3 linked regions of the Diceros bicornis minor genome follow. The protein of the gene in region 2 interacts with the protein of the main gene of each other region in a biochemical or structural test. Links are inferred from orthologs where the notes say so. Each region holds a gene or a part of one and is shown on either strand. Other genes may lie near its edges. The genes, in order: TNFSF13B, TNFRSF13B and TNFSF13.

The links.
Region 1: the proteins of TNFRSF13B (region 2) and TNFSF13B form a complex in vitro, tested with the Homo sapiens proteins (3 studies listed by BioGRID and IntAct, with this or other methods). The link is inferred for Diceros bicornis minor from reciprocal best matches to the Homo sapiens genes TNFRSF13B and TNFSF13B.
Region 3: the proteins of TNFRSF13B (region 2) and TNFSF13 form a complex in vitro, tested with the Homo sapiens proteins (2 studies listed by BioGRID and IntAct). The link is inferred for Diceros bicornis minor from reciprocal best matches to the Homo sapiens genes TNFRSF13B and TNFSF13.

The regions. Positions count from the first base shown.
Region 1 is NC_080748.1:82,904,528-82,912,569, reverse strand, and holds the start of TNFSF13B (tumor necrosis factor ligand superfamily member 13B), read right to left. Parts: upstream 3,463-8,042; 5' UTR 3,293-3,462; coding exon 2,942-3,292; intron 2,841-2,941; coding exon 2,753-2,840; intron 1-2,752. UniProt on the Homo sapiens protein: Cytokine that binds to TNFRSF13B/TACI and TNFRSF17/BCMA. TNFSF13/APRIL binds to the same 2 receptors. Together, they form a 2 ligands -2 receptors pathway involved in the stimulation of B- and T-cell function and the regulation of humoral immunity.
Region 2 is NC_080757.1:466,281-474,240, reverse strand, and holds the start of TNFRSF13B (tumor necrosis factor receptor superfamily member 13B), read left to right. Parts: upstream 1-4,868; 5' UTR 4,869-4,885; coding exon 4,886-4,946; intron 4,947-7,960. UniProt on the Homo sapiens protein: Receptor for TNFSF13/APRIL and TNFSF13B/TALL1/BAFF/BLYS that binds both ligands with similar high affinity. Mediates calcineurin-dependent activation of NF-AT, as well as activation of NF-kappa-B and AP-1.
Region 3 is NC_080757.1:10,771,326-10,778,376, forward strand, and holds TNFSF13 (tumor necrosis factor ligand superfamily member 13), read right to left. Parts: upstream 2,744-7,051; 5' UTR 2,656-2,743; coding exon 2,398-2,655; intron 2,058-2,397; coding exon 1,901-2,057; intron 1,828-1,900; coding exon 1,780-1,827; intron 1,635-1,779; coding exon 1,516-1,634; intron 1,308-1,515; coding exon 1,169-1,307; intron 932-1,168; coding exon 822-931; 3' UTR 679-821; downstream 1-678. Other genes in the region: TNFSF12 (tumor necrosis factor ligand superfamily member 12), read right to left, coding at 4,353-4,604, 4,803-4,927. UniProt on the Homo sapiens protein: Cytokine that binds to TNFRSF13B/TACI and to TNFRSF17/BCMA. Plays a role in the regulation of tumor cell growth. May be involved in monocyte/macrophage-mediated immunological processes.

The sequences.
Region 1 (8,042 bases), on a different chromosome or scaffold from region 2:
GTTATGCGGCTCATGACTGTATACTATAATACAGGTTGATAAAAATCTGAGGCAAACCATGATAATGACAGTAGTGATTACATCTGGGCTTTGGAAACTCGGCAAATTTTGACTTCTTGTTTAGAATTTTCTGTTATTCTCCAAATTTTCTAAAAATAGCAAATAAGTTGGGGATATGTTTCATCAGTATACAATTTTTGGACGCCATAAAAACACAAATATGTAAAAATATCCACATGGGAAGAAATTTAAAAATATTAATAGAGGATACTTTAGGGAAGTGGGCTTAGGAAATTATTGATTTCTTACTCAGTTCTTTACTTCCTAAATATGCTGTAATGAGCCTATATCCTCTTTGGAATGGTAAAGTTAAGGTTTATTTTTAAAACTAATATTTAGAGGCAGGGGACTACTAGCAGAGAAAGTTGAAGAAGATTGAGGCATCCTGATCCTACTGAACATTGAAGCTCATTATATTACAAAATTACTTAAAATATTTTATTTAATACAGATAAACAGAATAATAAATCAATGAAAAAAAGTTTCAAAATAGATTCAACTATATATGAGGAACTTTTAATACAGTAAAATTTCCAACACAAACAAGTTAAAAAGAATCATCTAGTAAATTTGGTAGAGATATTTAGCAGCAGTTTGGAAGGAAAAAATAGAAGAAGAAAGGGGAAGTTAAAGCTGGTGTGATATGAGCTTCCAAAATAAATGCCAGCAGGATTGATGAGTTAAATACCAAACTAAAACACTAAATTATAAAAAAGTCAAAGTAGCGGAAAATAGAATCGACTATTTAAGAGATTACAAACAAATATATTTTTAGCTTTGATGTATTAGAGAAAGTCAAAAGGAAAAGTTTGTCACATTAAAATACACAGATGCAAAATCTCTGTACAAGTTTAAAAAAGCAGCAAAATATTGTGAAAAGATTTACATCAAAATTCTGATAAACGTTAATATGTGTAATATAGAATTTAGTCAAAATTATAAAAAATTAGGACAGGCAAATGAGGGAAGATATAATAAAAATTAGCAGAAGATAAAATTAGAAGTATCAAAATATGCGGAAAGAAGTTAATTCTTACTTGTAAACAAGCAACAAATTAAATTTGAGATACTGCTTTACAACTACAAAAGTAGCCAAAATAAATTTTCAAAGATAAAATGCTGTAAGAATGTGGAGAACTTGTACACTCTCTTTCTGACTGCACACATTTAGAACTCATTTGGGAAGCAATATGGTAACAGGTAGCAAGAGTGATGAAGATGTTCATCCTCTTTAGCTCAGACATTCCATCTATGGAATTTATATTGAACATATCATTCCTCAGAAACAAGAGATCTGCACAAAAATTTTGGCATGTTCCATTATAGCCAAAAAAAAAAAAATGGAAATGATCATGTTAAATAATCGTATGATAATAAATAAACTAATTTAGATGCATGAGAAATTACTTAGAAATAGGGAAAATGCTTATGGTATAATAGGTGAACACAAAAATATACCATAGTATATATGCTGTATTTTTTCAATTATGTAGAAAATGTAGACGATCAAATGCAAAATATGAAAATAATTGATGTGTTAAAGTATAGTAAAAATATGAGTGTTTCCTAGTTTAAAAACGTTTAAACCTAATTGTTTCTGATAATTGGCACACAGATAGAAGAACCAGATACAAAAAATTATGGTTTTATAAAATAAGGAAGAATTTTTTTCATGAATAAAGAAAGCATTTACTGAAAAATAAGCTTACAGTCAGAGTATCTAATGTGTGTGTCGAATAGCACACCTCGTCTGTGTCCTTCACGTGCTTCTCTTCAGTACAGATGTATGTAATGATCACACGCGCTCTGCTTTCCTCCCGGTCACTGTAAAGGTGAAGGAAATGGCAGGTGGGACAACACCTGTCCTACCGCAAGCCTGCCTGGCACATTCGAGGTGCTCAGAAACGTTCTTTCAATATAAAAGGGAAACGATACCAAGGATTTGTCAAATTGTGATATTAGAAAATGCAATGCAAATGCTCTTGTTCGTCTTTGAAACAAAGGAATTAGAACCAAGCATTTTGGGAGGCCTCACCAAATCCGAGGTTTCAGGAATCTGTAAGATTCTGTGGAATAAGTGGAACATGAAGAAAGGTGGAAATCACTCAAGAAGTACTACAAGAAGATTATAAATGTATGGATCTCCTGGAAAAGCATATGTAAAAGAAAATTTTTTAAATTAGAGTGTGTGTGTATAAAATACACTGTATTTAAAGCAAGAAGCAAAATAAAGCACAAACACACACCTGCTCCCACTACGACCTTGGTTTCACAGCACACCAGGCAGGCCATGCTTGTCTTGAGCCGGTGTCTACGACCCAGGTAGACAGAATCTAATTCTGTGCTAACATGTCATGCTTTTTATCGGAGTGATGGACAATGCTTCTGACATACGGGTGAACTACCTATTGGAGGAAAAATATGTGCCCCATTTTTTGCTCCTTTATGCTTAATGTATGGCACAGGCAAATATTTCCACCCCCAAAATCTGCTCATTGGAGGACAAAACTGCTGTGCAGCCTATTAAATCTGCAAGTGCTCTGGCTTTGCCACAAAGCCACATGTGGTTCAGACGGCAAATTGCACTCTCTATGTTATGCTCAGCTCGCGCGCCCCCAAACCGGATGCGGTCCTCCACACCTGTGAACGCTGAGATCCCCGACTCCTAAACGCTTCTGTTCCCCAAACCTACCTGTTTCTTCTGAGTCCGAAACGGCACGCTTATTCCTGCTGCTTTGATTGGAGTTGCTTTCTCCTAGAGCTGGTGGTGCAAAGATGCCCTAAGAAGAGAAAAACCCCAAGTTATGGCACAGACCTCTGCGGTGGGGGAGGCAGCAGTGCGGGGAGACTCGTGCCTGGGCTGCAGCTGCTGCAAACTCACTTTCAGTGCGGAGGTGGCAGCTGCAGCCTGCCGCACAGCTGCCCGGGGGGCTGCTGCTCCCGCCCGGGGAGGGCCTGGCGGCCGCTCAGCGTGGGACGCCTGCAGTTCCTCCCGGAGGCTCCCCAGCTCCGCTTGCAGGGCGACCACCCGGCAGAAAGACACCACCGTGAGGCAGCAGGACAGCAGGGCCAGCAGCAGGGTCACGGCCAGCAGCTTTCCATCTTTGGAGAGTCGGACAGAGGGGCTTTCCTTCTGGGGGAGGATGGAGACACTGTCCTTCAGTTTCATTTCTTCTCTTCTCTTAAGGCAAGAAGAAAGGCGTGACTGCTCCCCTCGTGTGGAGTCATCCATCTCACTCCTTGAACTTTGGAGGTTCGGGCCTTTAGAATAAGTGACCACAGGGAATGGATCATTTCCTGTTATCTGTGTTTGTTGATGTCCTACATTGACTACATCGCCCAGCGTGGCTCTCGCCCTCAGGAGAGTTCTCCTGAATTTTCTTCTCTCTGCCCCGCTGCATCTCTGCCCTACTGTACGCTAGGTCTTCCTGGCATTCGCCCTTCTATTCGATTGCTCAATCAGTCTTCCTCATTTCACTTTCAGTTTTTGTAAGAATTTTAATGACATCTCAAAACACTCATACACACACGGGCCCCTTAAATCCACTGATTTGTCGGAACCTCGGGTTTGGGTCAGCACACTTAAGGGCACTTTTAAGCCGTGCAGTGTTTAAGGAGCTCCCTCTGAGGCGTTCTCAGAGAACTGGGTCTACTTGGGGCCACGTGGCTTTGTAGGAAAGGGGAAAAGAACATGAAAGTTCCTGCTGGTGTAATAAAAATAATGAATGTGAGGTCAGATAGCTAAGTGCTTCAGTATTGAACTGTACTCAGCTGGAAAGTGATTTATTAACAGCCTTTAAGCAGGAAATAAAATGAAGTGTCCTTAAAGGAGGCACGGAAGTCCGCTGGGGACTCTTCTCTTTATTGTTATCTCAGCAATGTAATTAAAAGCATGTGGCTAAACTTTGGAGACCTATTTAAATTAGATACGGGTGTGTTCTTCTACAGGGGAATGCATTTCCAAGGGAAACTTGCTAATCATTTCCTTCTGGGACTCACTGCTAGGGAGTCCGTCCCCCACAGGACACCCCGCCCCAAGGAGCGGTCCCACCTCTACTGTTCCCGCTTCTGGAGCTTGAAGTCCCTGCTCAGTGTGATGCTGTTTCGAGGTTAATGGGCCTTATCTCCAGCTCCAAATGCCCCAGTCCGGCCACTTACTGCTCTTTGCTAAAGCAGCTTATCTACCAGTCCACAGTAGGTTGACTCTGCCCCAATCGAAGTGCACGCAAAACGACCTGACTCAACCCAGAATCACTTCAGTTTCAAATCCCTATGGTTGGACGTGGCGTTGCTGCCTTGTCTTGATGGACGGCTCCTGGACATTTCCCGGTTTCTGGGTGCTTGGCTCTCAGCACCTACATATTGAGCAAGGAGCTTACACTTCAGTGATGTTACTGAGCACTTGCCGAGGCCTGGCTAAGCACGACTCCCCCGTGAGCAAAGACTGTAGAGCAGGAGCTCTATCTGACCCCACATTTCTATGCCATCTTCAAAAGAAAGTTACAGAAATGAGGTAAGTAAGGGTAAGGCCTCCAGGGAGCGAATCCTGGCTCCACCTCTTACTCTCCTTGGGCAAAGTATGTAAACTCTCTGTGACTCAGTTTCCTCATCTCTTAAATGAGATGATAACTGTCCCTGAGAATTGTAAAGAGGCGTACAGGAAAGTAGAACAAATTATATTTAAGATGCTTCCATTTTTCATTCACAACATGAAATATATTTCATTCATTCATTATACGAACGAAATGTTTCACTCATTCATTACACGAAGTATTTTTCATTGTTATTAACAGTGCCATAATAAACATCTTTGTACATGTCTCCTGTAACATCTGCAAGGGTTTCCCCAGCAGGCACCTGCTGGAGAGCAGGCACAGGGTTACCTTTACCACGTGTCACCAAGTCCCCTCTGATGAGTGCCCGTTTCCTCAGTGTCTCAGTAAGCATGATGTCGCGAGACTTATTCATTTTTACCTATTGGGATTGTTATTATTTTCCTTTGTGTCTGCAAGTTCCAAGACTCTTTTAAATGACCTTTAAAAAACTTAAAAAAAAAGTAAAAATTTTTTAATGATTACCTTGGTCTCCCAAATTAGCTATTCTCTAATCTCTCAGGTGGAAGTCTTCTTCTGTGAGTGAGTATGCAAAATCTTTTGAATCAGACATCACGTAATACAAGTCTTTTGTCACAGTCCTATGTTTCCAGGTCAATCAGGGTGACATATAAGAGATAACATTCCAATAAAAAAGAATTAGTTTAGGGATTGTATTAAACCCTTCTGACTGAAAGTAATTGAAACTCACTGAGATCATGTGAGTGTATATTAATATTATCTATGCACATACAGAGTAAGAATTCAAGGCGGTGCTGGAAACCAACGACTCTTCCTTCACTCGGGACACCTGTGGCCGCTGCTGCTTTCTGTGGGTCAACACTCTCCTACTTCTGACGGGTCACTTGTCTCCTACTCTGCTGTGACATTTCTGAAGAGAGAGGGAATAATTTGACCGTTTTAGCAATTACCTCTGCCTTGGTTGCTCTATTGGGCAGAAACCTTCATGCCCAACCACCTCAAGAGACAGCCACCCAGCAGCCTACGTGCAGGCCATTTTAAAACAAGTACCCCGTCCTGGATCAAGCAGGGGGCAACCCTGAGCACAGAGAGGGCTGGTGCTTCCTCCACAAAAGGCAGCAGGCCAGCCTCCCCCCGACCCAGACCTGAGGCAGGCACTCATTGCCATTTGCGTGTCCTCCACGGCGATCACACAATTAAATTTGTCTGAAGACAGATCGAAAACTAAGTGGCATTCATGTGCTCTTGAATTTCTTATTAGAGGAACAAAAGGAAGTCATTACTCCGTAAATCAAAGATCTGTTTCCTGCAGAGGAAGTGGTTTGACAATAATTTAACTGAAACTCTGTTAAACAAATAGCATGTTCACATCCACTGAACACACACCACACAAGTTTATCCAGGGAGGAGAAGCTACCCTCCCTGAGCCACAGAGCGCTCTCTGTCAGTACGTAGCTACTTTTCTACCCACTTCTTTTTCTCAACTTCAGTGTAAAACACTCTCCTGTAACATAGCTATACCAAATTGAATAAACAAATTGAGATGTCACATTCCTGTCCCAGCCACTCAGGGGTGGGCAGATAGGAACACGTGAGGGTATATTTGAAAAGAACTTCAGTGATGAGTTTATCCAAGGAACTGAACCACAGCATAAAACGAACACCTACTCTATGACTGCTTGCTTCTTATACTGACAACCTCAAAATATTCAAAAAGCTTATCAACTTCTGGCTTAATAGTATCATGAAGAATTAGCAAGTTTGGGAAATCTCTCCTATACCCCTTTCTTTGAGGAAAATGAGTCTTTCATAAGGATTTGGACCACTCAAGCATGGAGACAACAGCTCTTCTAAATATTCGGATGTACCTAAAAATAAATCTAGGTGAAACTGGCTTCCTAACGTGCTCAGAATATGGAAAATAGTTTGATACAAATAACTATTAAATTTCAGAAAAAAAATCATGTTGTTTTCTGGCAGAAATAGATATGCAGTCGGTTGCTATTACAGTTATAGTGAAAATTGATTTGGAAGGCTGAATGCTAAACACCGTGTAGAACTTAACTGTGGAATAATATGTGTTTAAAATTAGACAACTCTGGTCGTTCCTTACACAAAAAATAATGTCAGTGTCTGGCAATGCTGATTTCTCTTTCTTAATAGTTATATTAAAAAGAAGACTGTGTATGCATGTACTGGAGGTTGATTTTTGTCACTGTTGGAAAAAAATCCACTTTTGTAAGAACTCAGTTTCATTTGTGAATCTGTCCTCAATTTGTTTTGTAACTGCTTTCAGATTTAATTCTCTTGAAGAAAAGTGTTTAAATGTGTGTTTTTAAGAAATTTCTGTTTACTTCAATACTATTTTCAATGAGTGCAATTTAGTTTGTCATTCTTCATAATGTTTACAATATTTTCGTTGGTATTAAGATGGATATGTGTCAGTCCATATGATCACCTACCTATTTCATGTACATGAATGAATTTTTCTATTTTACACACACTGACACCCAGGGACACTCAAATAACACCTGGTCAGATTTGACCACCTCAAAAACGTTGGGAGAAATGATAAAGTAATTCTACACATGCAGGAAATATTACTTACAAAACTCTCTGCCTTTAAGATTAATAAAGCACAGTTTGCAAACATTTTTAATGATTAATTTGACTTTTTGTTTACTAAATGCGAGAGGTAAAATGATGGGAGTTAAGAGTGCAGGCTCTTGGGGCCAGCCCGCTGCCTTAGCAATTAGGTGCACGAGCTCCGCTACTGGCGGCCTGGGTTCGGATCCCGGGCGCACACTGACGCACCGCTTCTCCGGCCATGCTGAGGCCGTGTCCCACATACAGCAACTAGAAGGATGTGCAACTACGACATACAACTATCTACTGGGGTTTTGGGGGAAAAAAAGGAGGAGGACTGGCAATAGATGTTAGCTCAGAGCCGGTCTTCCTTAGCAAAAAGAGGAGGATTAGCATGGATGTTAGCTCAGGGCTGATCTTCCTCACAAAAAAAAAAAAAAAAGAGCACAGGCTCTAAAGTCAGACATACCTGTATGCCCAATTTTGCTTCACCATCTTAACAGTCTTTCCTGCCCCAAATCTGGAAACTGATTTTGGTTAGATGTCCATCTTCGTGGGATGCTGACCAAACGCACGCTATATCCTAACCACTGCAGTTCAGTCCTGGGGACTCCATCCACATCGCCCTTGATTGCCAAGAGTGGGCAGATAGGGAAGTTTCTAACAATCAGATGTGAAAGGTGGTCTCTCATGAGAAAGAGTCCATCATCTTTAAAGAGAAACAATAAAAAGACACTCTTCTTGCTCTATCACATGTCTACACATGACAACCTAGAACTGCACCAAATGCTGTGATACCCAGGCTGAGAGGCTGAGGACAGG
Region 2 (7,960 bases):
AGCCAAGGACCATCGAGGAAGCTACAGCTGTCTACCCAAGGTGGCTGGGGACCAGGACGCACAAGGTGCCAAAGTAGCACCCAAAGGTGACACTGACACAGAGGGGCAGGTGCCTTTACCTGGGGACATCTGGTGTACCCCCCAACAGGTGGTCCGCCTCAGCCTCCCTGCGTGCAGGACAAACTGACATGGTACACCTCTGGATTAGGTTCCGTAGGAACGACACCCCATCACCCGGGAGGTCTTCTCCCCGAACTGTGTAACCTGAACCCAGGGAGCATGTGGACCTGCCGTGCCAGTCCAGAACTCACAGAGGATGAGGACAAACTACACCGGGAGGAAACAGTCAGAGATGCAGATGCGGGACCTTCACTAAGACAGCGGCCGAGTCCACACCAAACAACAAAAGAAAGGAAAGGAAGGCAAAAGAAAAAGAGCTAAAGGGAGGGGACTGTTCTGGGAGAAAAATGACTGAAGAGTCATAAGCAAACGTGTGACCCTAGGCTGGATTTTAATTCAAAAGAAGCAGCCAAGAAAAACTTCTTAGGACAACTGGGGAAATTGAAACATGGACTAGTTAGTAAATGATGTTATTGAATTCTCACTGACTGTCTTGGGGGGAAAATGATCGTCTGTGTAAGAGAACATAGTCCGTCTTCCTAGGAGTCATCTGGGAGGCATCTGGGCGTGAAGCTTCAATGTCTGCTTTCAGCTGTCTAAGTGAACAGCTGTTGAGTCTTGGAGCGTCCACGGGTATTCATTTTACTTCACTTTTAACCTTTCTCTGAGTTTTGAATTTTTCATAATAAAAAGTTTTGAGGGGAAAATTTTAAAATAGAAAAAGAAACTAGGTCTTCCCACAAAAGATTGGGTGCTTTTATTGTAAAGAAATCAGTGTTTGCTTCTTTGGTGGGTTTTGCTCAAGTAACAGTATCTAGCCTTTCTGAGAAATTAGTACAAATCGAAGGAACAGGTATATTAGCAAAGTAGGAAATTCAGCACATCTGAGTCGTGTATGTAAATTGCAATCATGAAAATCAGGGCTTTCGCTGCATTTCTAAGAAATGTCCTTTTTTGGGTACTCTTGCTTTTATCTTACCTCTAAGACTCTTTAGAGAAGGTTCAACGGCGTGGCCTCAAAGGGGCCAGCGGGGGTGGCAGACACGAGGGCGGGATGAGACGAACACCCGCCGCCTCAAAGACCCTCCCAGCCCTGGAGTGGGCGAGGGGCCCTGCAGTCACAGCATCGCACACGCGGGCAAGGAAATACTGACCAACACGGCAGCGTTCCCTCTGACAGAGTGACTCCCCCTGAGGAATTCCAGCCATTCCGTGAGTCACGGAGAAGATAAAACAGACATTAATGAGCACATGCCAAGTGTTTAAGAATAGCGCCTGGCACACAGTGAGGGGTTCGGAAATGCTCGCTCCTGTTATTATTCCTAGCGAGCATTCTAAGAGCTCATTTAAAAAGGTAAGGACTGATTGATAGGATATATTAAGGGAGAAAAGGAGCGTGTTAACAGTGTGTTTAATCTGGATAAGCCAGCAATTACGTAAAAAAAAGCGTGTGGGGGGAAATGGGGCAAAATCTGTCCTGTAGTGACCCACACTCGCACGAAGGCCTGGGCCCTAGTGGAAGGCTGTGGGAACAGACGTGCTGGCGGCTACTGCCTCTGAGGAGGGGAGTCTGGAGTATCTAGATTGGGGCGAAATTTGCTTTTTGCTATATTCTCTTTCACACTGTTTGAATGTTTCTTTACCACGTGCTCATTTCAACAGTTTAAATACACGTATATGAATGAACCAGTTCCCAAACCTTGAGGTATACAATGTGTCTTTGCTCTGGGTTCCAAAACTCTGCTGTCGCCTTGACTGTGGAGCTTAAAATTAGAACTCCGCACCCCCAAGGAGACAAGTCAGAAGGGCTGGTTTCAGAATGAGGTTTGGAAGGTTCAGAATGAGGTTCGGAAACCTCCACCACCTGCGCTGAGGCAGCCCAGAGTGCTGGGGGCGGGGCTGGGGGGTGTTGTCGTGGGTCGTGGCCTAGACCGAGCATGCCCAACGATAGCAATTCCCTGCAACCGTGCGGCCCTGGGGGGAGGGGTCACGTGTGCTCTGGTCTGTGCAGTCCTGTTTCAGCTTCGTGGCCATCCATGTGATGGATCAGGAGAAAATGAGACTCGCAGACGTCAAACAACTTCCCCCCAAGATCCCCACAGCTTTGTTCTGCCTGCTTTAATCCCACCTAACACGGAGTGAAACTAGACACCGCGGATGACCCCATCTTCTGTTCCCATTCATCCCACTCATGCTGGCACAGGCAAGCGATTGCATGGGGAGAGAGGTCAGAACAGTGGCTATTCTGGGATGGGGGTACTGCCTGGAGGGGGAGGGAGGGAGCCTTCTGTGGGGGCTGAAAGTGTTCTAAGTCTTAATGTGGGTGGTGCTGCCTGGATATGCGCATATGTAAACATTCATTGACCTTCCACAGGACATGCATGCATTTCATCATATGTAAACGACGCCTCTAACTAAAGAAATAGAAACTAAATGAAATCCATTGTCTGTAAACTGTTTGAGAAAAGCATTAACAAGCTGTGATCAGCAATGGGACATCAGGGAACCCCACCATGCAGTTCTCAGCCACCCCAAAAGTCAAGTGGGATTTTGTGGGCTTGTCTTTCAGTTTCCGCCTAACCTATGCTGGCTGTAAAACTCCAGAGTGCTGTCTCACTGACCAAGACCATGCATGTGGCTCCAGAGAGCGGCAACCTGTCCAGAGGTTGCGTTTCTGGAAGGCACAGTGTTCAATAGATGGAGACAAGCTGTCCAGTGGTCAGAGCTCACCCCCTGGGAGCCAACCGCTTTGTGAGGTGGTGAGAGCCTCGGCCCTGGGAGTGTGCAAATCGAAGGCAAGGAGGGGATGCAGTGAGGGCATCCAGCAGTGACTCTGGGCTTGCCCCATTTCAACAGGCAGAACGTTCCTGGCAACAGAATCTATGGTTGCCTCTGGCTCACGCGTCTACCCCACCAGCCCAGCCGTGGGTTTGCTACATTTCATTGACACAAGTAATATGTGGTATCTTCTCCATGTGAAAGTTAAAACAGTATGAATAGGGCTAAAGTCCCCTTTGACCATCACCGCCAACCCTGCTCCCTTCTCGCCCCCCGCCCCCTGGATGCAGCCACTGTCATCATGCACAGCCCTTCAGACTCGCGTCACATTCACACGTACGCGATCGTGGACAATATAGTGGCCTTGTGTGCGTGTGTGTGTGTGTGTGTGTGTGATCTGCTTGTTTGTGTTTTACTAAAAGGCATCTTACTGTAAGTATCATCCTATAAACTATGTTCTTTCCACTCAACGATCTGTCTTGACAATCTTTCCACGTCACTGCTTACAGATCTGCCTCATTCTTTTCAGGCGACGCGTAGTGTTCCTGGTTACGGCCTGTGTACCTTATTTATTCAGCCATCTCTATTGGGTGGGCATTCGCGTCGTTCCAGTTGCTCACTGTTATTGACTATGCTTCAGCGAACATCCCTGTGCCTCTGCGGCACAGAAAGAATTTCTGGGTCCTGGGTTAGGCATATGTTCCACATTTACTTGACGCTGCCAGGTTGCCCTCTGAAATGGCGGTACCCTCCTCCAGCAGGGCGTGAGTTCACATTTCCGCAGATCCCCTCCAGTCCTCGACACCATCAACTTTAAGACTTTGCCAACTTGCTGGATGAAAATCAGTTTTTCATGGTTAAGTCGTACTTTTCTGCTTATTGGTGAGATTAAGCATTTTTTAGGGTTACGAGCCATTTGCATTTTCTCTCCTGTTCTGCTCACCATCATCTAAATTGGCCTTTGTTCCCCGCACCGCTCCCCCCTGCCCTGACCGCTGCCTGGAAGGCCTATCTCCTTCCCTCCACCCGCCTGATTCCTTCTCAGCCCTCAAAGGTCCCTTCCTGAGTGCCGTGGGCTTCCTGTGACTTCTAAGTGCGTCCCACTCCAGCTTAAGCCGCGGGCTCCTCATGCTCACGGAGGTTTCAGAGGAGCTGGGAAGACAAGAGTGTGAAGAGGGCTACAGCACTAATTTCCATATCATTTAGTGAGAACCTGCTCTGTGCCAAGAACTTGCTCTACAAATTCCACTGTGTTAACTCACTTCATTCTCATAACAACCTGTGAGACAGGGACTGTTATTATATCCATTTTACAGAAGAGGAAATGGAGGTCCAGAGAAGCTAAGTAAACTGCCGCCAAGGCTTCCTGCTGCTAAGTGGGCGAGCTGAGACTCAAACCCAGGCTTTAGTGTCAGCCTCTTGGAGTGCTTTGAAGGGAGGAAGGACAGAGCTTAGGAAGCACAGAGAATGGGCACCTAACCTGGCCTGGGGCAGTCAGGGATGGCTTCCCAGAGGAGGTGACACCTCAGCTGAGCCTGAAGAAGGAATAAGAGGAGATGACCGGGCAATGAAACAAGCAATAGTTGTCCGGGACGAAGGAAGGGCCTGAGCAATGCTCGGAAGCTGGAGAGCTGTTTCCCGGGCCTGAGCCTGGCGTGTCCGCGGTGGGGCAGGAGACCAGGTCCCGGTGGGAGGTCAGGGCCAGATCTGGGCCATGCCAGGGTTGGTAGCCCATGCCGGGGCGGGGTCGGGCCTTCCCCTGCTCTGCCCGGGTGAGCAGCGTGCGGGGGGCTCAGCAGACAGCGCCCGACGGGACTCCTGGGGCGCCGGGCCGCGTCCACCCCCAGCAGCTCCCGAGACAGCGCGCAGGCGCGGGGGTGAGGGGTGGGGGTGCCGCTGATTTACATCCTACAGCTTGGGGGGAAAACCCAGGAAGTGCAGCAGGGGCACTAATCAAATCTGAGGCTAATAATAAACGTCCTGAGTAATGAGGGGCCCGGGCCAGAGCAGGAGAGGTGGCCGGAGCCGGGCGGGCCCGGAGGAGCGGCGTGAGTAGCCGGGGAGGCGCGGGTGGTTGGGAGGGCTCGGCGCCGCCTGGGCTCCGTGGGGTCGGTGGGCGCGACGCCCACAGCAGATGGGCAAGCTGGGGCGGTCCGGGGCCTCCCCAAGCCCCCGCCCGTGGAGAGCCCAGGTCTGGGGACTCCGGGGTCTGTGCCTTGCAGTCCAGGATGGGAGCCCCGAGGCCAGATGGTCAGCCACCGGGGCAGGAATTCCCTCTGAGACCCCTACCACAAGCTGGCCAGAGGGCCCGGAGCCAGATTCACCAGGACTTTTTGTGTGTGTGTGAGGAAGACCAGCCCTGAGCTCACATCCATGCCAATCCTCCTCTTTTTTGCTGAGGAAGACTGGCCCTGGGCTAACATCCGTGCCCATCTTCCTCCACTTTATATGGGTCGCTGCCACAGCATGGCCTGACAAGAGGTGCGTGGGTGCGCGCCTGGAATCCAAACCTGTGAACCCTCGGGCTGCCAAAGCGGAGCACGGGCACTTAACCACTGCACCACCGGGCCGGCCCCCACCAGGGTATTTTAAAAATATTTTATTTTGAAGTTGACACTTAGGCAAGAGTAGAGAGGAGAGTTTACAAACCCTCCTGGTGGGTCACCCGCTTCACATTTATCAATATGTGACCAACTCTGGTCACCCACGCCCCCCATCCCGGCTCCGGCCCCCTGGAGCATTTTAAAGCTAATTCCGAACATCGTGTTGTTTGATTTGGGGACACCTCAGGATTTATCTCTTAAAAACTCTTTAAAAAACAAAAACCAAAAAACTAACCATGATGTGGTGACCACTTCTGAGAACCATGATCCCTCAGTCTCTCCCCACTATCGGCCGGTCAGTGTTCAGACTTCCCGATGGTCTCAGCTGTGCCTTTTCCTGTTGATTTGTGCAAACCGGGATCAAACACAGCCCACGTCAGCCTTTGGCCCTATGTTTTAATCTAGCACCGTTCCCATTTTTTCCCTGCTGTTTATTTGTTGAAGAAGCTGGATCATGCGTCAGGGCAGCTTTTAAAGGTTTGCTCGAAAGCAGAAACCTGGAAGCGTAGGTCGCTAAAGCGGATAAAAGGGGCCAGGTCCTCCCTGTGCAGATGGGACCCGGGGCCGGATCTGAGCGGGTATCAGGGCCCACAGTGGCACAGCCTATTCTCTCCCCCACGCATCAGGTAGGGAGCCTGTCTTTTCTCTGTTCCGTTTTGTGTTGTGACCACATCCCCAGACGTGTCCTCAGCTAAGGGCTCAAATGTATAAAATTTCTGAGAGAGTTGGACCAGGGAGGGACCAGAGGTCGCCTTGATACAGGATGAAGCTGCCTGGGCCCCCAGGACCAACCGTGAGTCGGGATGGGTCAGAGCTGTGACCTGGCACTGATGGAGGCTACCTCATGCCGAGGACTCAGCCCTGGCCGGGAGTCAGGAGTTCTAGCTTCTGCTGCTCACGGACTTGCTGTGTGACCTTGGATGAGCCGCTTCACCTCTCTGGGCTCCCTTTCCTCAGCTGTAAAAAGAAGAAGAGCCTCTGTTCCACCAGATGTCCCTCAAAAACACAGAAGGGCTTTGTACCTGCCAGAGCCCCTCTTGAAGAGTCACAAGCAGTGGTTCTGAGAAGGGCTGCCGTTAAAAAAACACACTTTGACTTTCTTTAACCCAGCATTTTTCAAACTAATTTGACCCCAGAGGTCTTTCTTGGTGCAGCACCTATTAACAAGCCAAGCACGTGAGGAAGCATGGGCAGTGGGCTCCAGGAATCGTCCCTCCTGGCTGCTCTCCAGTCTCAGGGTGCACGGGAGCTGGGCTGGGAGCCGGGGCCACAGACCAGGCGTGCGGGACTCCTTCCCTTCTTCCCCGTGTGTCAACAGAGCTTCTTTCCCAAGCTTCTGTTCTGCCTGGCCGGTGTCAGTCCTGGGGTTTTTCTGCCCTCTTTGGGGCTGACGATGACTCTGGCATTTTCCGTAGGTCCAGGCAGTGGTAGAGGAGGGGGAGCAGGGACGGCACCCTCTGGCCACTTGGGCACTGTCTCTCGGTCAGGTCCAGCGGCGTGGTGGCTTCCCGGCCACGTGTCTTGAAAGCTCTCTCAGGCGCCCTTGTCGGATCTGACCCACTATCCACCCAACCATCACCTCACAGGGGGTTGGGTGGGAAGCAGTCTCTCCCTCTTTTCTCCCCAAATGAGGGAAGGGTCAAGGGTCTCTTTTTAATTTTGTTTGATTTGTTTGTTTTTTAAATTGCTTTTTGAATATGTAGTATAGTCACATGGTTGGAAGCTCAGAAAGTATAAAAAGGTATATAACAGAAAGCCTGCCTCCCCTCCCTGTCCTCTGTCTGCCCGGTTCCTGCCTCCCCTAGAATAAATAGCTTTATTGAGATATAATTTATATGCCATAAAGTTCACCCATTTAAAGTGTACAATTCAGTGTTTTTTAGTGTATTTACAGAGTTGTGCAACCATCACTATAATCTAATTTTAGAAGATTTTCATCCCCAAAGAGAAGCCTTGTCCCTCCTCATCCTCCCCACCCCCAGCCTTAGGCGACCACTAATCCACTTTCTGTCTCTATAGATTTGCCTATTTTGCACGTTTTGTAGAAATGGAGTGTGGTGTTTTGTGACTGGCTTCTCTCACTTAGCGTAATATTTTTGAAGTTCATCCATGTTGTAGCACGTATCAGTACTTAATTCCTTTTTATGGCCAAATAATATTCCATTTTATGGATATACCACATTTTATTTATCCATTCATCAGTTGATGGATATTTGGGTTGTTTCTACTTTTTTGTCTATTATGAATAACGCTGCTATGAACATTTGTGTACAAATATTGGGTGGACATGTTTTCATTTCTCTGGGGAGTGGAATTGCTGGGTCATATGGTAATTCTGTGTTTAACATTTCAAGGAACTGCCAAAGTGTTTTCCAAGGTGGCTGCACAGTTTTATAATCCGGCCTAACACATGAAGGTTCCAATCTCTCCACATCCTTGCCAACACTTGTCACTGTCTT
Region 3 (7,051 bases), about 10 Mb from region 2:
ATGCGAGGTATCATTTATTCTCTTTTATTTAACTTTAAGCAGGGCTTGAGCAGAAAGAAGAGCTCAGATGAGCGAGGCAAGACCAGCATCAGGGCGTTCGATTCTTCCAAGGCTCCCCGGCGACCCGTCCCAGCCCAGAGGGGCTTGGAGTGGCCTGCCACGCCAGGGGAAGGGAGAGTATGAAAGGCAAAACTTGGGACCCGAAGAGTAATGTGACTGCAAAGGGACCGTCCTCGTCGGGCACCCCCTGCAGATGGGCGCATAATAAATACACCTCTGGAGATAGTGATGGAAACTGAGGCCCAATAGATGGAGAGAAGAAAGGGAGGATGAGGCTTCTTGTGGGTTGAAGAGGCAGAGGGTACCTGGAGAGAGGTTTGGCAAAGGGAACCAGGAGTTTTCCTGAGTGGAGGAAGGCTTCGTGGACTTCTGCCAACAGGCAGGATGATTCTCTCAAACTGCCGCTAGATGGTGGTGCTGTTCTGGAAGCATTCCAGTGGGACCCAAAGCAGATCTAGACAATGCTTGGCATTCCCTCCCCGTTAAGAATTTGGGGCTGGATGAGGGATAAAAGCAAGACATTCTACCTCTTTAACATCCATGAAATCAAAGTCTAGGGGGTGGGAGTGGAAAAGGAAAAGGGAGGAAAGGAGTCAAACCCAGGTCCCGTGGCATGAGCTGTCAAACCCAGGGTTCCAGTCAAACCCAGAAGAGGCTTCTGTTCCTACCCATTCCCTGTCATTTGTCTAGTCAGCTCTTGGCTGTCTCCAATATGTACCCACCCTGGTTTTCCAAGCTCAGAGCCACCTTTTATAACACAATCACAGTTTCACAAACCCCAGGAAGGTTCCATGTGGAGAGAGGCTAAGTTTCGCCCTTGCACGGGGGATTATGACACTCAGAATATCCCCTTGGTGTAAATGGAAGACACCTGAGAAAAGGGAGAAACTCTGCTCAGTGAAGCACAGGCATGCAGATACTCTGATGTTTCACCCTCCCTTCTCCAGCTCAACCTTTTTTCTGCTTCCTGTAAGGACCTAGGTATTCCGCAGATCTGCCTTGACACCCAGGCTTCCAACCCCCTGTCGTAGCTCCCTCACCACTGCCCCCAGGTCAGAGATGTCGTGGTCTTCTCACATCCAGCCTCCACTGCCCGCACGGCTCTCACCTGCACTGTAGCAGCTATTGTAGGCCCAGTCCGGGTTGGAGGGCATACTTCTTATACATCGGAATAGAGTCTCCTGCCTTCCCTGGCCCTCCCGAGACACCACCTGACCCATGGTGAAAGTCACATCATGAAACAGGACCTGGCAGGGAAGGGAGGAGATGTTGAAAAAAACAGGATGGCATGGCTCATTTCTGGACAGTCTCAGGAGCCCTGTCAAGGGAGCCAAGGGATGAAGAAGGGTCTTCCAAGTTTGGTGTGAACAGGGGTTGGGAACCCTCAGTATCGGGGTACACAGGCTCAAGACTCCAGGCCCCCATGTGAGGCTCAAGGCTCATGTTTGGGGTTACCTGGCTGTACAGCAGATAAACTCCAGCATCCCAGACTCGAACAACATATCCTTGGGCCTCCAGGCCTCTCCCACGCCTAAGAGCTGGTTGCCACATCACCTCTGTCACATCAGAGTCCTCTGGAGGTAAGGAGTGTGGCAGTCAGGATTTCTGTGCACTCTCAGACTCTTTTCACCTCTAAGATTCTCTTGGGCCCAGGTGCCAGCCGCAAAGTTCCCAGATCTTGCACCCTTCCCAAAAGCCAATATATAAAATTGTGCTCACCCTTCGAGGTGATGTTAATGGGAACAAGGTGCAGCACTGAGTGCTTTCCTGAGGAGAGAAGGAGGAAATCTCAGCAGTGCCCACTACCCCAGTTGCCCTGTTGTCAGCCCTCCACCCTCACCTTGACTCGGGGTAATAATCTCCAAATCCCCATGCGGCTTGATCACCTCCCACCCCTGCGGCACCCCGGAGGCCTCACTCTTCTGTTTATGGGTGAGCACTGCTCTCCTTCTCCGGGATCTCTCCCGATTCTCCCCGGCTTCCAGGGCATCAGGGCTCTGCTCACGGAAAGAGGGTCAGGGTTAGGCTAAGATGCAAGGGTCCCAGACAGCCGTTCTCCCCAGCCCTCCCCTGACCCAGGAATGCCTCACATCTCATGCACCTTTCCCTAGCAACCTGAGTCTTGGTGCTGGCTGTCCTCCAGGATCTGTTAGGTACAAGAAGCATTAATCTTTAACAGTTTCCTTTCCTGGAATGGCTGCTCCCTTGACCTCCAGACCTGGGACCCTCTCTTGCACCCACTCGAAACTTTACAGACTAGGAGGCTGAAACCGAGAGGCCCACAGATGGCCCTGCCACCCATCTTTCTCTCCCAGACACCCCTCTCCCCTCACTCACCTGCTCCTGGAGGCTCAGCCATGGATACCCTTCCCCCTTCTCGGAGGGCCCTCCAGTCCTCTGCAGCCGGGTCACCTCTCTCCTTAGGGTTTGCAGCTCTGTCTGTTGGGTCAGCAGAGCCATGGCACAAGCCACAGCCCCCAGAGCTGCCCCCCAACTCAACCAGAGGGCAACTGAGAGTGCCGGCTCTCGGACCGGGCCCCCCATGTCTCCCGGGGGCCCTTTTGGGGCTAGCAAGGAAGGAGATGAGGCTGGCATGAGCTGGGGACCCTGCCAACAGCTGTGGTCTTAGGAGTGGGGTGGCAAGGAGGTGGCGGAGAGGGTGGGGGTGCAGGCAGTGGTGCAGAAGGGAAGAAGGGCGTTACGCAAGGGAGAAATAAAAAGGAACTTGAGAATAAAAAGGAGGGAGGAGGAAAGCAAGCTGGGGGCACTGTTGGTGCTCCTGGCACCCCGCTATGGGGCCAGTGTTGTCTTGAGACCCCTCACCCTCCTTCAGCCTCAGGAGAATTTGGTGTCAGTCTCTCTAGGAAGGACGGGGCTGCCAGTGACACCCAGGAGGAGCGGCCAGAGCACAGGAACCCTGGGGCGGCCCCAGAAGTGGGGGAGGGAAGGTTGGTTGGCTGTGGGGCATGGTGCCAGGAGCAAGGATGGAGGGACAAGCTGGGCAGCGTTGAGGGTCAACGGGTGAGGGTGGAAGACCCTCTGGCTCAGGCACGGGAGAGATTTCTGGGGATGTCTGCTAGGAGTGACTGCAGGTGGCAGAGGAGGGGAGGGGGTCGGTGGGAGGAGAACCAGGGTCGCGGAAGCAAGAAACCGTCTGAGTTCTGGGGTTAAGGCCAGGCCGGGTGTGTTGGAATAAGGCCTGCACTACTCCCTGTGCTGAACTTGGCAAGCAGGACTTCCTGTTTCCCGAGAAAAGCTCTTACATAAGGCTGTGGACAAAGAGAGAACGAGACAGCCCCAAGCACCCTACCACTGTAGGATTCCTCCCCTGGACCCAGGGGCCCAGATTCCCATGTTCCTGGGCCTCGGGGTCCTTCATATTGACTCTGAGCCCCCTTCCAGACCTGCTCCCACCCCAGATCCCAGCCAGGGCTTGTGCCAGCACCTGCTGAATGTCCTGAGGCTGCCAAGAGGAAGGGCCCCTGCTCCTCCCAGCCAGGGATTCCCCGCAGGAGGAGGCCCGCCTCCTAGGTAAATGAGGCTGCCCTGCTGGACCTTGGGCAGAGGATTGATATTTTTCCTGGCAGTTTGCCTTTCCACTCTCTGCTTATACCTCAGGGGTTGGAGGCATGCAGGTCCCCACTCCCAAGCTGTATAACACCCTGGAATTCCGGGTGTCCTGCCCCCGACTCCCCAATGCCCAGACACCCTTCCCCTGGCCCTTGGCTACACTGAGAATGTCCCCTAAGCCCCAATAAAGAGAGAGACCATGACTTATTCTCTTTAATATCCACTTATCAACATTTTGTCACAATAATAATAAAAATAATATCTGTTTTAAAAATCCACAGGGAATTATCAGGGGAGGAGCTTGTCTTGGTCTCTGACCCCTCACAGTCGGGAACTCCTGGCCTAGTCCCAGTCTTTCTGGCGTCCAGCCCCTCTTAGTGCCTGAAGAGGGGTATTCAGGACCCATCCTTACCCAGAGTACAGTAAACCCAGTGTCCTGGGGGGCTGTGGCCAGGGTGGGGAGCCAGGAGATAAATGGGGGCATCGAAAGATCAGGGGTTTGGGAGCTAAAGAGGTGGAGGACCAGAGGTGGGGGGAGTTGTCATAGTCAAATGGGAATATTTATGTGGCATGGAGAACACGTGAAGCCCTGGCAGCCTACAGAGGGAGGGGCAGATCTGGGGGGAGGAGCAGCTTAGGGTGGGGCAGAGGGGACTGGGGTGCTCGGAGAGCTGTCGTGGGGAGCCGGCAGCCTGGGAAAACCACCGTGAGACCAGGGCCCCTCAGTGAACTTGGAAGAGTCCAAAGTAGGTGAGGAAGGGGGCAGCCTTGAGATGGGCCCAAGGGAGCGTGCGGATCCGCAGGGAGGACCCTGGCCGCAGGGGCAAAAGCCCAGACACCTGGCAGAGACGGAGCTGGGGCCCGAGAGAACTCGCTGCCGTGGCCGAGAACTCTTCCAGGCAGCGCAGGGCCAGCGTGTCATCCACCAGCAAGTCCAGCTTCAGGTAGACAGCCTTCCCCTCATCAAAGTGCACCTGGGGGGCAGGGGAGGGAGGGTGGAATCTAGGGCTCTGCTTGCCCTCATGTCCATTTCAAATCTCCTTAGAGACCCAGGTATCCTCTCCAGCCCAAACCCCAAGCTCCCCCTTCCCACCTTTAGCTTGCCCCCACTCCCTAAACCAAACCCTTCTCCCTCAGTTCCTGCTTTACCCATGGAGCCAGGTGGGGCTTACCTGACAGTACAGGTAGTAGAGCCCAGCCCGGGTGACTATAAATTCCCCGCTCTGGCGGTCATAGCGCAGTGGGTTGGAGCTGTTGATTTTGGCCTCCTCCCAGCCACTCACCGTCCCGTCCACACCTGAATGTGGATGTTCAGAGATAGGGGAAAGTCCCTTTACAGGACTTTCTCACACTCCCCAGGGACCCACTGAGTTTATAAACCTTTGGGGCCCACCTTACCCAGAAGATACATAGACGGCTCAGGGCAAGGGAGGAGCCAGGGCCTGTGGAGCCCATAGTGTAACAGGCAGGTACGACACAGAGCAAGTTGTCACCAGTCACTTCTGGGGAGAAGAGTAGGTTTGACAAAGTGTGGGGGCTTTTATATTTTGTATCTATATTGCTTGCCTCTTTTACTTTGAGAATGTATACATACAGTACTTGAATCATACACCACTTGAATTATTTAAATTAAAAATAGTAAATGGTACCCAGATGTCCATCAACGGATGAATGGATAAGGAAAACTGTGGTATATTCATACAATGGGATATTATTCAGCCATAAAAAAAAATGCTATGATGTGGATAAACCTTGAAAACATTATGCTAAGTGAAAGAAGCCAGTCACAAAGGACCACATATTATATGATTTCTATGAAATGTCCAAATAAGCAAATATATAGAGACAGAAAGTAGATTAGTGGTTGCTTAGGGCCGGGGGGATGGGGAAAATGGGGGTGATGGCTAAACGGTACAGGGTTTCTTTTTGAGGTGATGAAAATGTTCTAAAATTACTGTGGTGATGGTTGCACAACTCTGTGAATATACTAAAAACCATTTAATTGTACTTTAAATGGGTGAATTGTATGGTATGTGAAGTATATCCCAATAAAGTCATTACCAAAAAAAAAAAACCATCTAGGCTAGGGTAATTGCAAATTGTAAAGAAGATAAATAATAAAATGACAGAGCAGAGTATCAAGTGGTTTCCCAGGTCCTCCACAGGCCCCTTCTGTCTCCTCTCCAATTTACTCACACATGCCACCAATTCACAAGACTCCAGCACTCTAGCCCTCTTCCTGTTCCTGCCATGCGCCAAGCTCATTGTCCCTGCAGAGCATTTTACAGCTCTTCCTTCTTCCCAGAACACTCTCCTCAGGATTCCTCCCCTGCCTGGCACCTTCTGTCAGTCAGGTCTCAACTCCTCTGAGAGACCTTCCGGGGCCACCCGCTTTAAAATAGCCAGTCCCAGCCTTGCCTCCGTTAATCTCTTCAAGTCACCCTGTTTCTTTCATAGCAGCCACCAACATAGGAAATCATCTCGTTTATTTATGTATGTGATAGTTTGGGGTCTGACTCCGCCAAGAGGGCAGCGACAGTGGTCTTATGCACCACTGTATCCCGGCGCCTGGAGCTGGGCCTGCTCTGAGTGGGCGCACAGCAAACGCTGATAGGAAGATGGAGGGAAGGAGGTGAACATGGCCAACAGCGCTCTCTTTGTTTGGGTCCATAGGCCACTCTCCTAGGCCTCACTGGCTACGTCTCAGCCGCCTGGGCATCTGCCTTCCCCAGCCCCTCATCCTCCACCAGCCGCAGGACTCTGTTCTTGTTACTTTCTCAAGGAAAACATAGTACTTGCTGAGCATTTTCATTCCCACTTATGAGTTACCTAGGCCTTTACCCTGCAGACTCTGATCTGAGCCTCTAGCTCAGAGGTTTCCTGACCCTCTTCTCCCTGCTAACTGCTGCCATTGGAATAGCCCTGGGTACCCCAAACTCATTTTGACCAAAACTGAGCTTGGCCCCCCCACCCCATACTTGCTTTGCTGTCTGTATTCCAGATTTGGCTCTACCTCCCACCGTGTACCCAAGCCTCCCTCTCCTTTACCAACTGTATTCACCGATCACCAGTTCCTGCAACTTCTGCTACCTAAGTAGCCCTGCCTTGTCTTCCTCCCCAGTCTGGCCTCTGCCACTTCTCACTGGGACTCTTCTTGGCCTCCTTCCTCACTGAACTTCCTGTTTCCAATATTGTCTGCTCCAGTCTATTCCCCACACACAGCCACAGAGTGATGTTTCTAAAATGCAGATGTGAGCCTCAGAATAAGTTCCAGACTCCATTTGTGACCTGGGTTCCACATTCTTCTCCAGCCTTATGCCCCATCCTGCTCCTCTAGCACTTTCTCCTTCAGCTACATTGAGCTTTTCACGGTCCCTCAGCCTCATCATACTCTTGGCAAACTCGGGGCTTTTGCACAGGT